Linked DNA regions of Caenorhabditis elegans. The protein of the gene in region 2 interacts with the protein of the main gene of each other region in a pairwise test. Each region holds a gene or a part of one and is shown on either strand. Other genes may lie near its edges.

The links. Proteins that work in one complex are often made in the same cells at the same time.
Region 1: the proteins of B0454.8 (region 2) and gst-23 interact in a two-hybrid assay, tested with the Caenorhabditis elegans proteins (one large-scale study listed by BioGRID).

What each region holds. Positions count from the first base shown.
Region 1 is NC_003283.11:3,241,354-3,245,015, reverse strand, and holds gst-23 (Glutathione S-transferase), read right to left. Parts: upstream 1,733-3,662; 5' UTR 1,722-1,732; coding exon 1,587-1,721; intron 1,545-1,586; coding exon 1,457-1,544; intron 980-1,456; coding exon 576-979; 3' UTR 514-575; downstream 1-513. Other genes in the region: srj-7 (Serpentine Receptor, class J), read right to left, coding at 1-13; srj-11 (Serpentine Receptor, class J), read right to left, coding at 2,380-2,646, 2,701-2,889, 2,940-3,144, 3,196-3,302, 3,344-3,592.
Region 2 is NC_003280.10:3,041,799-3,045,555, forward strand, and holds the start of B0454.8 (C6 domain-containing protein), read right to left. Parts: upstream 1,661-3,757; 5' UTR 1,609-1,660; coding exon 1,482-1,608; intron 1,021-1,481; coding exon 1-1,020. Other genes in the region: sri-29 (Serpentine Receptor, class I), read left to right, coding at 2,525-2,689, 2,742-2,870, 2,920-3,381, 3,426-3,504.

The DNA of each region.
Region 1 (3,662 bases), on a different chromosome or scaffold from region 2:
TCATATATATCATAGTTGTATTGAAAAATAATGGGATCTTCTCGATGAAGAGATGTAGAAGTGTTTTCCCCTCTTGTTTTTCTTATAAATGCCGAGTTCTCGTAAAATAGTATACTCCTTTGGGGTTGGGGCACTATGTGTTTTGTGACTTGAATATTTGTCTGCTATGGTAACTCCGTTTTTGCAAAGGAACACACTGAAAAGGGTCGAAAAAGTCCTCCATGTGTGATAGCGTCATTGAGCAGACTTGAGGTGGGTGTTATCTGTATTCTCCAGGGTCTGATTCATAAACAGCACCTGTATTAATTTTCAAACAACGTTTTACTCCTACTACATTGGTTTTTCGTGTCAGGACCCAATGTTTTATATGCAGTAGGTTATCGTGAAACCTATAGACTTTGATAAGTTAATTCAAAAAACTTTAAAAAAATTTAATTTTTAAGTACTCGAAATTTTGATAGCTCATTTTTTGAAAATGGTTTCACAGTTGAGTTTTGCTTTTTGAAACAATAGTTATTTGAAACAAGTTTTATTAGTATTGCAAAATTAATTTAACACAAAAAAATCCGAAAGTTTTATTGTTTCCCATTTCCACTGACGAATGGATTTAGTTCGGCCCGTTTATTCAAATACAGTCTCATATTGGGCCGCTCTGCAAATCGTCCATGAAATCTTTTCAGTGCTGGGGTGCCATTTAGAGCAGTTGGTGTGAGGATGAGGTGAATATCGAGAAGCTCGAATAGAGCATAATCTGCATAGCTCAGCTTGTCCCCGGACACAAAGTTTTCGCCGTTGTTAAATGTGCAGAACAACTTCTCAATTCGTAGTAGCTCCCCGGGAAGAGTTTCAGTTATGTATGCTTCTTTGCCATCTTCGTAGTCTGTCTTGATCATTGTGAAATATTTGGTGCGTAGATCGCGGAGCCCTTCGGAGAACATATCGATGAATGAGGTCTCTGATTCAGTGGAGCCATTGAGTCCTGAGAAATTTTAGATGTTGTTTTTTTTTCTTTTTGTATTGAATTTTAAATAAGATTTGCAAAATGTTAACTCAACAGCCGGGAAAACAATTGTTAATATATTTTTCGTTATTTTCTCCAACTGATATTTTGAGATCAAAAAAAAATTGTAATCAAAAACGCATTAAGTCAGCCTAGAAGAGCTAACTATAAAGCCAAAAGTTTAAAACAATTTATTGACTAATTTGACGACGTTTAGAATTGCTCCAAAAGACTACTTTTAGATAATTTTTATACGATTTCGGATGTATACATTCTGCAAGTTTTTTTGAAAATTTTTATTTTGAGAAAATCAAAAAAATTTTCACTCAAAAAAAACGATTTTTTCAAAACAAAACATTTATCAAAACAATTAATAAGCAATTTGACAGGCTTTTTCTTTTTCATCAATTCGAATGAATTTTTTATTTCAAAACTGTAAATTTTCTGATTGCTCACCATAAATCCGTCCAAGATGACGAAGAATCGCTGCTGACTGGACAATCGTTTCAGTTCCGATATGAAGACACGGCAATTGAGCGAAAATCTGGAAAATTCTACTTTTATAGTTTCAAAAATTATGAATCACCATGGTTGACTTCATTTCGGCCCACTCTTCTCGGCTGATACGGTTATCTTCAAATGGGATTTCCTGGTCATTGAGCAAGAGCCGAATGGGCTCCGCGAGCCCACGAATGTCAAAGTATGTGAGCTTGAGTGTCATCGAAGTGGTCTATAAATTAGAAAAACCAAATTAGAAAAACGTAAATTTTATGATTCCGGTAAATTTGAAAAAATAAAACTTTTGAGAATTTGGGAAAACATAAATGCAAAAATATTATAATAGAGGGCAACTATACGAATTCATACATGTGTTGTTGTATTTTCGGCAATAAAAACCGAAAATATAATCGGGTTAGGGGTGTGACGCGATTGTGAACTGTAAATTAGTAAGGTTTATGTGTTGATTTTAAATTTCTATACGGTTTTTTCCTGTAATTGATCAAAAATAATCCCATCGACAAGAATTCTCCAAACTTGACAAAATAATTTTCTAGAACTATCATCCCAACTCAAACTTAACGACATTGTTATAAAAGTGCTAAGTTGTTCAAAAAGTTACAGTACTAAATTGAGAATAATTTGTTTTTAAAAACCAAAAAAAAACGAAGAAAGTGTAAGCTGTCTGCAAACTTGGTAAGAAAAGAGGGACACGTTGAAAATGTCCGCAGGCTATTGAAAAAATCTATAAAGCAAACATGTATTTCGAGAAATGCAAATAAAACTCTTTCACATTGATTAAAAAAGAACGTTGCGAAAAATATTTATGGAAAAAAATAAGAAATTTTATAACAACTTGGACAACACTTTTCCTCAAACTTTCAATAAACTTGAGCTGAATTATCCACGTTGGGTCGGACAGTCGATGTTCCAGAATAAAAGTATTTGATTGGCATTTTCACAGTGCGAAAAAGCTTGTTCCGGTAGTTGGGTAGGAGGAAAATGATAGCAAGTGGATCTAGAACAGGGAACGCTGACAGTGCAATGACGCCCAAATAATTGTTCCACATTCCGAGATCCAATCCGATTACAGGACCGTACCAGGCCATCATGCAAGGGGAGAAGCTGATGCAGATCGGGATGAAAGTCTGAAAATGTTTAGTTAAACAATTTTTTTCTGAACTCTTTAAAAACATGTATACCTGAACTGCAAGGGCTTTGAATAACTGTCTATGCAATTTCTGAGTCGTTGCAGAAACCCCTGGATTATCCGCCAGCTTTTTCATAATCTTCCATCCAAGAATAACGTATAGAGAAATTGCATATATCGAAATTCCAGTCAGCAGCAGAATTCCAATCCAGCTTCTTCTTTTGATCTCGGGACTTGCATCCTAAAATTTTAAGGGGTTAGTGTTGGTTCTTTGCTCTTTTCGAGCCTCACGAAAAACAATGCCATTAGCATGGATAAATCATGTGAATCCACATGGTAATCTTTTTGAAAAGCGTCATAGATGTAGTCGAACACTTCTTGATCTCCATAGAGACACATCTCGCAGACAGAACTCCAAGCTATTCCGTGAAAAACAAAAAATACAAAGAGACCAAATAGCCCGGACGGCCGGAGAAGTCGATCGATTATTCGGGTGCTATAATTTTTAAATTTTCGGATTTACGTGAAAAATAAAAATAAAACTCACTTAAATAGCACAAGATACCGATAGATAAAGTGAATGACAAGGATTCCATATGAAAGAGAAATACACCCACATCGAATTGAGACAGCTAGTTGGCCAAGCTTCCCAGTCTGAAGTTCAATCATTTGGTGTGTAGAGCTTTCAAACTCACCCCAAAAAATGGTCCGTCAGCTAGGTAAATCACAAAAGCTGCCCCAGTACCATGAATTGCTACGGGAACGATTAGCTCTACAGTTGAGTAAGCCATATCAAAAATTGCAAACCCTATCAAAAGATATCGATACTTCCCGATCGAAGCCTTCTTTTCGGTGGCTATCAAGCAAATGAAAATTGGATTACACACGAATGACAAAATTCCAAACAATTTTGGAAGGTAATGGTGAGACCAGTGGATATACATAGTCCGTCTGAATTTCTTTCTGAAATTGTGAATATTCAGATTGTGTTAATAATTTATAAAGCAGATTGTA
Region 2 (3,757 bases):
GCGCCTGTGTGGATGGCTGTCCATTCACCATTGTCACGTAGTTCCATATCATATCTGCAGTGTTGCACTGAGCATTTATAGTAACCGTCTGGGGAGGTGGGTCCAGATTGTTTTCCACTGGGGTGAAGGCTCCATTCAGATCCATTTGCACGTTGAAGTCGTCGGCTCCAGAGCAAGTGATTGTCATTGAGGAGACGCCGGCTGTAGTTGTAACTGCTGAATGTGTAACATCGATGGCGACCTCAGGGGTTTGATCGTCTCCAACTCCATAAGTTATCAACGCCGGATCACATGGCACCGGCTCCGGATCCGGTCCCTCTCCCGGCAAATTCTGAACTTGTTGGCAGGTCACACTGTCAAGCGCCTGTGTGGATGGCTGTCCATTCACCATTGTCACGTAGTTCCATATCATATCTGCAGTGTTGCACTGAGCATTTATAGTAACCGTCTGGGGAGGTGGGTCCAGATTGTTTTCCACTGGGGTGAAGGCTCCATTCAGATCCATTTGCACGTTGAAGTCGTCGGCTCCAGAGCAAGTGATTGTCATTGAGGAGACGCCGGCTGTAGTTGTAACTGCTGAATGTGTAACATCGATGGCGACCTCAGGGGTTTGATCGTCTCCAACTCCATAAGTAATCAACGCCGGATCACATGCCACCGGCTCCGGATCCGGCCCCTCTCCCGGCAAATTCTGAACTTGTAGGCAGGTCACACTGTCGAGAGGTTCGGTGAACGTTTCACCATTGATCACAGTCACGTAGTTCCATTTCATATCGGCGGTATTACACTGAGCATTGATAGTAACTGTCTGGGGTAGTGGATCCTGGTCGTTCTCGGCTGGTGTGAAGGCTCCATTAAGCTCCATTTGCACATTGAAGTCAGTGGCTCCAGAGCAAGTAATTGTCATTGAGGAGGTACCGGCTGTAGTTGTAACTGCTGAATGTGTAACATCGATGGCGACTTCGGGGTTTTGATTGTCTCCTTGTCCAAGAACAAGTGTGTCCGGAGAGCATGCTGGTTCTGAAAGTTTTTTTTGGCTTCTCGGATATTTTTCGGATTTTTTTGGAATATTTTAATACATTTTCACAAATTTTTTTCACTGGAAATCCCCTGAAAGTTGAAAAATGGTCCAAAATTAAGCCTAAGCCGTAGCCTAAATCTAAGTCAAAGCCCAAGCCTAACCCTAAGCCTAACTAAGTCTAAACCTATGTCAAAGCCTTAGCCTAAGCCCAATCCTAAGCCTAAGCCTCAACCTAAACCTAAGTCTAAAACCCTTTGAAAAATCAAAAAAACGCTATAAACCCAAGCCTAAATAGCGTCAGAGCTAACGCTCGCCACTGACGCCAAGCTTAAGCCTAAGCCTAAGACTAAACCATAGCCTACGCCTAACCCTAAGCCCAAGCCTAATCCTAAGCCTAAGCCTGAACCAAAGCCTAAGCCTAAGCCTAAGCCTAGGCCTAAACTTAAGAAAATCGACTTACCTGCCGGAGCCACCGTACTTGTCACAATTGGCTGCTGTGGAGTCTGAGTAGCGAAACAAGATTCTGAATTTTTAGCAATTAACAATAGAACCGAAAAGCTTAGCCAACAGACTAAGGAAGACGACATGTTTAATGGAATGAATCAGATCAAATCACGGAAGAGGAGATCAAGATGAAAAATTTCTCAAGGATTTAATGATATAAAAAATCGAAAAGCAGGCAGGACAGGATATCTTTGATTCCTCTATGTCTCTAGTTTCGTTGTGACGTCGGACTGATTAGAGGAGAGATTTTCGTAGCATTGTCGCATAGTTATCAAAAAATCAGGATAGTGATCGGAAATCAGTTTTAATCTAGATATAAGATTATAAATATATAGATATAATAATAAAATAATAGATATAATAATATAAAATTGCAGATTTCAGAAAAAACCTTTGATCTCCTTTATCCCTGAAACAAAACGTGCTAGCAAAAAGTTGTCAACTAACAAGATGCTTAAAAATATGTGATGAATAATTTGTTAGTTGACAACTTTTTGATAACTCTTCCCATTTTAGAGTTACAGGAAATGTTTATTAAAATGTGATGAATATTTTATTAGTTGACAACTTTTAACATTTTACTTTTACCAGCTTTTACCGTTTTAGAGTTACAACGGCTCAAATCCAAGTTGCTTCTTTTGGGGTCCTATGACAGAACCATGGAACAAGACAGGCAATGTGAGTTTGATACGAAAAAATGAAATTCCTGAAGATTTTAACATAAAATCTTGATCTCCACCGCTTATAGATTATACTCAAAGATCAGAAAGTGCTGAGAGTCGCTGATTGGTGCAAACGTGGGCGTGGCCGAGCGGTGATTGGTCAAGAAATTATGTGGTTCATGTTTCTTTGTTCTTAACATTGTTCGATCATATCTAGAAATGTGATGTTAATATTAATATTGACAGGTGACTTTTTAACATATGTCTTATGCTGAGCCCCCAAACAATCAATCTCCTCATTTTTCCTGCCAATTTTGAGCACACTCCTTCTAGTAACATGTCAGAAAGCTTGAATATTGACTTCGAGGTCCCCGAGCATTTGATTAATCACTATTACGTGTCGGGTACAATTGCATTACTACTCAACTTATTAGTCATATACCTTCTGTTGTTTCAAAGCGGCAAGCTAGACAACTTTCGATTTTATTTGCTGGCTTTTCAGGTAACTTAAACAAAATATTTGTATGTTCAAAAAAATCTTTGAAAAATTCCAGGTATCTTGTACGGCATCTGACGTGAACATTGCCTTCCTATTCCAGCCTATTCCACTATTTCCACTGTTCTCTGGATATGGGCATGGGTTTATGTCACGTTGGTTTGGCTGGAGCACGCATACGCTATTTGTAAGCATTTTGAGCAATTAACAGTCAAACAACAAAGCCAAACTTTCAGACCCTATTCACATTACTCCTTAGCGGTCAAATCGAGGTTCTCACAATATGCTTCCTCCGCAAGTACAAGGCAATCATGCAGCTGAAAACTTTATCAAACCCGTCAAGTAGCCTAACCTATATTATAATCTACCATTTATGCATGTCCTACTCACTGGCTATCACACTCGCATGGTACTTCAGCGAGACTAGTAAAGAAGATCAATGGAAGTTGATTAGTCAAGACCATCCGTCGCTGGTCCCGAAGTATCAGCAGCTTAATGAATTTTATTACACATACTTCAACAGTGCATATATTTTTATTATATTCCTAGTGCTCACTGCTGCTGGAACCTTAAAGACGATCATTGTGATATCTCTTCTAGTACTTCGAATGTTTAAAGTTCTATCAGATGTTAAAAGTCGCCTATCGAAGGGGACACTGAGCAGGCATAAGGTTGCGCTGAGAAGTTTGATTATGCAGGTACAGGATAATGGAAATTGAAGGTAAATCTTCAAAATTTCCAGTTCATGACAACCCCAATATCCTTCCTACCACCCTTCATGCTGGTAGTCGTCGCCTTGTTTCCAACCAGCTACTCTCAAGGTTCCAGTTTTACTAAAAACTAGTAGTTGACAAAGTTTTTCCTACTGGACTATGTAAAACCATCTCATAGGTCTTTGGTCTGTCGCATACCCGTCGCGGCGGACTGGCAGACCAGGCCTCCGCACTCACATCACAGGTAAAGCAGGAGAGGCCCTACGACGACCTTACGGCGGTCCGGGGACAGATGTCTGGCAAACAAACTCAGCTCAAAACTCCGGGTCGTTGGGGGCCGTCGCCGTCGCCGGCCCAGTGG